Nothobranchius furzeri: one gene and its partner. Each later gene encodes a partner of the first gene's protein in a complex. Links are inferred from orthologs where the notes say so. Each region holds a gene or a part of one and is shown in the gene's direction. Other genes may lie near its edges.

Region 1 (4,283 bases):
AACTGTTAGTGGTTTTATTTGTTAGGACACTGCATTCACCGACAGATTAGAAAGTTTAGGATTGGTTTGGAACAGTAGATGGATTTCGGGTACACCTCTGTGAGAACCGAGCTTTGCCCAGAACCCTGGTGCTTGTATGGATCGTCCCGAGAGGCTGGAGGTCCGGCTCAGACCTGATCCCTGGTCCTTCCTGTCATTCTGCCCAGAAGAGGAGAAATCTAGAATTCCATCCAATCTTAATCCAAGATTAACTTTGGATTTCCTCAGAACATCTTTTTAGACCAAATCTAGATGTTAGTAACAGATTTATTCTTCATCTAACCAGGAAGGTCCCATTGAGATGAAAAACCTCATTTCCAAGGCAGTCCTGGCCCAGAGGCAGCAGAAGTTGTTTCAGCTCCACAGACATGTTATGCACTAGATTACAGAAGGCAGTTACAACACAGAATCCTCTCAAGGGTTCTCAGTCTGGTTTTAAATGTAGTCAAGGAGAAAAAAAACTAATTCCCAGTTTTCCTGCAGCCTGTTCCATGCAGAAGGAGCAGAGTGAACAAAAGACCTTTAGCCCAGATTGGTGCGAGCAAACAGAACACAAAGTAACAGCTGATCGTCTTCTTCCAGACTGAGGACTTACACTTCTTGAGATTAAGTTACAGATGTAGGTGGGTAGTAATCCAAGCATTGCTTTATAAATGAAGGTGTACCAATGTTCCAACCTCCTGGTGGATAAAGAAGACTGTCCCACTGGACACTGGAGTGGTCCTCAGTAATAAACCTCAGAGGCATGATGACCACATCAATCTCACAAATCCATTGTTAATCTGAATTAATCCATCTACGTCTAATTCATTTTGTGGCAAAAATATTTTCCTTCTCTGAGAAATTCCTTTAAACCAAAAGAACGCCGCCTAACGTCCTGTGGGTGATACCACCACTCTGTCTCATCCCTTGAGTTAGGAACATTTTTCTACTGTTAAGAGGTCAGAGTTAAAAAAAACGTCTCTGGAAATGTTTTGGTCCCAGGAATATTCCATCTAAACCAATTTAACAAGAGATTTGCGCTGGATTGGGACTTCTGGATTCTAGATCAGGACTAAATGATGTGGGCATATTCTCCATCATTTCAATAATAAACTTATTTATGTAAACAAATAAAGATTTAAACGTGAAGCGACGGTAACGCGCGACGTGCTTGCGTCATCGAGTTCTCCGTCCTCGGGGAACGCGCACATTCCTATTGTCCAAGATGGCGGCGCTGCTGAAGCTCCACTGATGCAGTTTTTGTTTTTAAACCTTTTCTGGTTTTTATCCGTAAATGAGCCGAACGTCAGCGGATGCCGTGGAACCGCGTTTCCCCCTGAGCCCGTCCTCCGTAGCCTCGCTCCCGCTAACGCTCCCGGAATCCCGCTGCGGACACCGAAAAGTTTCCGATCCGTCCTCCAGAGAAAATGAAGCGGCAGGCCGGCAGGGAGAGCAGTCCGTCCAGGGCCATCGCTAAACGGACACGGGAGCGGGAGAGCAGCCGCAGAGAGGAGCTGCCCCCGCCGCCGCTGGCGCTTTTACTGGCGGAGAGCAGGAGCTACCGCCGCCGGAGCCGGGAACGCGAGAAGCCGCGGCTCAGGGAGGAGAGGGCGGCCGCCCTGGAGCTCCACCACCGACATGAGCTCAGCCTCCTCGGCCGTCCACCGCTCCGCACCTCGGCAGCAGAGCTCCCCGCCCCCCGGCCGGGCACGCTGGAGTATAAAACGCTGCTCATCAGTAACCTGGGCTCGCAGGTGTCGGACGAGGACGTGGAGGACTCGCTGTTTCACGAATTTAAAAAGTTCGGGGATGTGAGCGTGAAGCTGTCGCACACACCGGAGCTTGGCCGGATCGCCTACGTTAACTTCAGACACCCGGAGGATGCCAAGGAGGCCAGGCACGCCAAATCCTCCAGGTTGGTTCTGGGAGAGCGCCAGCTGAAGATAGAGCCCATGTACGTACGGAGGCGGAGTGTCACCCCACCGGACGTGGGTTATTTACCCCTCCACGCCCCCTATCCGTACAGGCAGCGCTCCCTGTCCCCCCCTGTCCCCGGGGTCAGCAACCTCCGGGAACTGAGAGCCAGACACTACGCCCTGGAGACCCTGGGTCTGAGCAGAGACCGGGACCGGCTGCTGGACTACTATGGGATGCTGGATGAGAGGGGGCGGCCCTACGGCCTGCCCCCCATGCCAGTGGTGGAGGACTTGAAGCCGGAGGATGACCAGCGGGCGACCAGTAACCTGTTCATCGGTAACCTGGATGGGAACGTGACGGAAGCTGAGCTCCGGAGGGGGTTTGATAAATATGGCATCATTGAGGAAGTGGTGATCAAACGCCCGGCACGTGGACAGGGCGGGGCTTATGCGTTTGTGAAGTTTCAGAACCTGGACATGGCCCACCGTGCCAAAGTGGCCATGCAGGGCCGGCTGATGGGTGGGAACCCCATAAAGATCGGTTACGGCAAAGCCAACCCCACCACCCGCCTCTGGGTGGGGGGGCTGGGGCCCGGGAACCCACTGGCTGCCCTGGCTCGAGAGTTTGATCGCTTTGGCAGCATACGGAACATTGACTACGTGAAGGGGGACAGCTTTGCCTACATCCAGTACGAGAGTCTGGATGCAGCTCAGGCCGCCTGCACCCAGATGAGGGGCTTCCCTCTGGGGGGCCCAGAGCACCGGCTCAGGGTGGACTTTGCTAAGGTGGAGGAGAGCCCGTCGCGCCCATTTCCTCCTGGTTACCAGACGCCCGTTACACTCCCTTCCCACTATGACCTTCTTGGAGAGGCATACAGCCGCCATCGCAGCCTTGAACAGGAGCTACGGGGGGCCAGGGAGCGTTCTCCCCCTGCTCACAGCCTGCTCTCCCTGAGGGAGAGGGCCCTGCTGGAGAGAGACTTTCCCAGCAGCCCCACCCGCAGCTTGGAGAGGAGGTCCGGAGGGGTGGAGGCGTTTGGGAGGAGTGGGAGAGCAGCAAGGAGTCGTAGCAAGAGCAGGGAACGTTGGCTGAAGGAGAGGGAGGAGAGGAGGAACAGGAGGAGGAGCAGTAGTCTGTCAGCAGAAAGGCAGACGGAGGAGAAGGAGGTGGGGAGGTCAAGGGTTCGTGGTGTTGGTGGAGCCGTCTCTCCTGAAGCGAGTCCGGACCGAGCTCGGGTCCGAGCTCCCGACTCCACCACAGAACCCCGAGACCATTCCCCTGACAACGGAGGAGCTGGAAGGCAGTCCACCAACGAAGAAGAGCCTCCCTCCAGCCACCATCACAGCAAGAGGGCCTCCAGCGAACAGCTGAACAACCACCACCATCGGAACAGTGAGGCCAATGCCTCGGCTTCTCCTGCAGCCCACACAGACGCCTCCTCACCCCCCGGCACGCTGTTGGAGTTTGCCCAGAGCATGCTCTCCAGGATGTGGAGAGGCTTGTTCACCCTGAAGAACAGCAGCTTTCCTACAGACCTGTTCCTGCTGGAGGGGGGCGTGTCCTTCTTCAACACTGTGATGAAGGACAGCCTGAAGCAGCCGAGCAAGAATCAGCTGAGCCAGTTAAAGATCGCTCAGCGGCTGCGCATGGACCAGGCCCGGCTCGACGAGGTTTCGCGCCGCATCAAGGTGGGCCGCCCCAATGGCTTTGCCATCCTGCTGGCTCTGCAGGGCCCTGTGGACCGCCAGACCCCGGGTCTGGAGCCAGGATTGCAGGTGCGCCTGCTGCGCCACCTGGTGACGTACCTGCGGAACAAAGAGGCGGCCGGTGTGGTGAGCCTGCCCAGTGCCAAGGAGGGTGGGCCGGGCGCCATGCTCTATGCCTTCCCCCCAGGAGAGTTCTCTCAGCAGTTTCTGCAGACAGCCAAGAGGACTGTGGGTAATCTGGAGGAGGAGCACATGGTGATCGTGATCGTTAACGACACTAACTGATGTACAGAACCAACACTTCCTGGTTTGAAACCTTTTAGGATTCTGGATTCCAGCCACACTACACACGTCACTCCGCTTCTCCCTGTGAGCCGGTGGGGTTGGCGGGAGAAGGAGGAGGATTTTAAAAACACTCACAGGAGCGACAGCAGGTCCTCCTGCTTTTATACTTAAGCTGTAAAAAAAAAAAAAAGACACTAAACCCAGCAGGACAGTTTCTCTGCTTCTGACTTTATTTGTTTTTAATCACATGGTAACGTGACACGCAGGTGTTTGTACTGTACCCCCCACCCAGGTGTTGCATGCAGACACTTCCCTGGAGGGATGGTTTGGTCCGCCCTTCTAAACCTTCCTGAC
Region 2 (3,816 bases), on another chromosome or scaffold:
TATAAAAGGTTACTAACTGTGCGTCCCCGTGAGAAGTTATCACCTAGCTAGCGGTCTCCTTTGTTTTTCAGGTCCGTATTGGCGATTATAAAACGGACAGACTATAAAACACAAACCATGTTGTAGTTTTCTCCTGCTTGTTGTTGTGTTTACTGACGAAGTCACTCGTGTGACTTCGTGCTCGGTCGGTGACAGCTGCTCCCCTGCTGCTTCGCGTCTCGTGGGAAGGGCCAAGCAGCAGCTTACGCGAGCAAGACGTGCTGCTGCAGTAACGTGCAGCTGACGGCTCCCGTGGAAACCCGGGGTGAGAAGGTTGCAGGTTCGATCTCAGCGGTGGCATTTCTGCACGTAAACGTTTCCTCCCACAGATCAAAAACATGCACGTCGGTTACAGTGATCAGTTTTATGTGCTGCAACAATGAGGTGATTTCAGAGTGAATTAAAGTTGTTTGTGTTTCGCAGGGCTTCATATGACAGTTCAGCCCCTCCTCTCAAAAAGAAGCCACAAACTGAGGGAGAGGACACCGAGGAAGATGTGGAAGAACAGAAGGTGAGTTTAATCTAGAGATGCACCAAAAAGATCAGCTGGTGATCAGAGCAGGTCATAGTTTCGTGTGATTGGCCAATCTGAAACTTCAAAATCAGCTGTTGGTGGTGAGTGAGCAACAAGGAAAATGTGACATGTCTCTGGGGCCATAAAAGCACTAATGGAAATAACTGATCAATGAGACAGTCACAATTTTTTAATTGGTCAGAAATGAATTTGAGATCTTTCAGGTGAATCAGAAGCTACAAAGATCTTTACCAGCTGTTCAAATATTAGTAAAACTCTACAGGTTTCACCCTGAATCTTTGACATCACACACACACACACTTATGCCTTTTAATGTTAACCTTAAACCTGAGGCTTTTGCACAAACCGATTAAAACACGTGTGGTGAAAACTGGTTGGGTGGGTTCTGAGTGGATGTGGACTTTCACAATTATATGGATGACGCAGTTTTCCTGTGGGGTTTCACGGCTTCAGGGCTCAATAATTAACTGGATGTTTTTGTTTAGCAATCTTAACAAAGCATCTCCAGGACCTCACTTTAAAGAGCAAGTCACCCCCAAATCAACCTTCTTGTTTGCTGCTAAACCATACAAATGAGTGTCTAATTGTGCTGTAGTCACATGTGGTCTATAATTTGGCACAATTAAAATATTCAGCCTAAAACGCGACCCAACTTCAGATAAGCGGCTGAGGATGGATGGATGGATGGATGGATGGATGGATGGATGGATGGATGGATGGATGGATGGATGGATGGATGGATGGATGGATGGATGGATGGATGGATGGATGGATGGATGGATGGATGGATGGATGGATGGATGGATGGATGGATGGATGGATGGATGGATGGATGGATGGATGGATGGATGGATGGATCATTAGTCACACCAAATGATACAGATGCATTTAAGCTTTGGTGATACCTTTTAAAGACTAAATGTGTTTATTTCTTTTCTTTAACATTGAATCCATGTTTCTTTTTAAATAGCTTTTATGATCCAGTTGCTTTCAGGTTTCAACCACATGTTTAAATACAAAAATGTGTTTTCCTATTTTTGTCCGTGTGACAGGATGAGGTGGAAGTTCAGCAGGAGGATGAAACCAACCCCTATGAGGAAGTATATAAGGACTCCAGTACGTTCCTCAAGGTTAGAACACCTTCATTTGAGCTCATTTAGCTTTCCTGGTGTCTTATCTCACTTCATTCGCTTTTCTTAGAAATTCCATGCATGTTCGGTTCATCAAAGTTATGCCGGTTCATGGAGTTTATGATGTCATTGAACTTAAACGGTGACAGCCGTTACATTAGAGAGAAGTGTTAATGAAAGGTTACTGGGAATCATCTTAAAACAACAACAACAACAAAAGAGTCAGCAGAGCAGTAACAGGGAATAGCAAGCCATGTGATGCTTGTAAATATCAGCAGGTCCCATTGTTTACATCTGCATTACCAGCGTCCAGTTCTCACTCAGTTCCAGTTAGATCGGTGGTTTTGGTGACATTGTTTCCATTTCCTGGTAAGATGTTCAACTGAGAAACATTTTTGATGACTGTGGGTCGTTTGTTTTTTGTTGACTGTTTCCTACATAGTTACCAAATGCACACTGATATGCAGTAGAAACGGCCCTGCCAACAGGATTGTTGTGAAACATTCACATTATTTATGTAATCCTTTAAAGTACGTATTGTCCAGACTGGGGTTGTCACGGTGTGAAAATGTAACCTCACGGTTATTGTGACCAAAATTACCACGGTTTTCGGTATTATCGCAGTATTTTTTTTAAACGTGCTACATTTTCACACAATTAAATAAACCTGTATGTCAGGAAATATTGTCCTCAGTTTGTCTAAATTTTGCCTGAAATGTGTTATTTTGTAATTATGTTATTTATTTGTTTACATTTTTTCCCTTTAGTCTTTAAAATACCAATATTTGCCCATAACTTCTTATTTTGTGTCTGTTTGATGACATCATTTTAAAAATATTAGATCAGATGATACTCAGTACTCAAGTAGCCTTCTAATCAGATACTTTTTTTTACCCTTACTTGAGTACTAAACCCTATATCATGAAAATATCGTCCTCGGTTTGTGACCTTCCAGTGAGCTTTGCAGATGTGGGAAAATGTCATCAGGCAGTAATCGTTGTTAAATTCATAATTATTCTCGGAGAGAGACCAACTCTTATCTGCCCCTGGGAGCCCCGTAATGCATAGCGTCATTTCAACATGGCGGTGTCCGCGACACGGTTTATATGCAGGTAGCGGCGCTGCGGCTGCTTTATATAGCGACTCGTTGCATTCTCCCTCAGCCCAAATCCTCGGATCACGCATTTTAGCTAAAACGCTAACGTTAGCTTGCCTTGCGTTGACTGTAGAGTTGTGGGTGATGGTCACGCAGATGTGTCATGAGATTTGAAGCGTTGCTGCCTTCCACAGACACTTTTTCCTGCACCTGCTGCAAACAGCATAGCCGTCTTCTATCAACTGTCCCTCGGCATTCTTCAAATATCCAAAGGATGCCCGTACTTCCCACTTTGTCTTCTTTGAGGGATAATACATGTCCTGAGTGCTGCCGTCTCCTCCTTTGGCCATTATTTCAGCTTTAGCTTCAAGAAAGTTTTGGTTGTAAACAACAAAGTGCGCATGTGCCGCTGGCAACTTCAGCAGATGATACGGTGGCTGGTAAGGGTCACCGCGCCTACACCGCAGCCACGGTAATCCACCGAGATAATATAGTTTTTTTAAAAACAAGACGGTTATTATTATTGTCAACTTTTTTTACCGGGGTTTACCGCTACACCGGTTACCGTGACAACCCTAGTCCAGACTAAGTATATTGCCACGCTCTGGCTGTTGAAAAGGCATAAAGCACATCTGTCATCACTGGCTTTTTACTGTCTGAAATCTGAGCTGCAAATATTTATGACGGCTGCGTGTTTTTGTGTAAGTCTAGGTTACATCCTAAAAATAGTCCCACATTATCAGTAAACGGCGTCAGCGGTGGTTAAGCTTTCAGATAAACACGTTTTATTTTAGCCGTGGTTCCCAAACCTGAAGCACGAGTTTTGGTTGGCATGTTGACTTGATGCTTGACAATGTGCCTGGAACATTTCCAACTAAATCATGTGATTCCCTGAGCTCCAAGCAGAGCTCATTGTCAGTGTAAACAAACAACAGGTTAACAGTTGCTCGGTTTGGTTTTGTAAACAAAATCTGTTAGTTGGTCCACCCAAGAGGATAAAAAGACTAAGAACTAAT

Evidence for each region.
Region 2: rbm15b (region 1) and mettl14 share a complex: the UniProt entries of both Homo sapiens proteins name them as parts of the WMM complex. The link is inferred for Nothobranchius furzeri from reciprocal best matches to the Homo sapiens genes RBM15B and METTL14.

Annotation. Positions count from the first base shown.
Region 1 is NC_091743.1:78,034,912-78,039,194, reverse strand, and holds the start of rbm15b (putative RNA-binding protein 15B), read left to right. Parts: upstream 1-1,212; 5' UTR 1,213-1,448; coding exon 1,449-3,929; 3' UTR 3,930-4,283. UniProt on the Homo sapiens protein: RNA-binding protein that acts as a key regulator of N6-methyladenosine (m6A) methylation of RNAs, thereby regulating different processes, such as alternative splicing of mRNAs and X chromosome inactivation mediated by Xist RNA.
Region 2 is NC_091746.1:78,162,799-78,166,614, forward strand, and holds part of mettl14 (N(6)-adenosine-methyltransferase non-catalytic subunit METTL14), read left to right. Parts: intron 1-462; coding exon 463-550; intron 551-1,626; coding exon 1,627-1,704; intron 1,705-3,816. UniProt on the Homo sapiens protein: The METTL3-METTL14 heterodimer forms a N6-methyltransferase complex that methylates adenosine residues at the N(6) position of some mRNAs and regulates the circadian clock, differentiation of embryonic stem cells and cortical neurogenesis.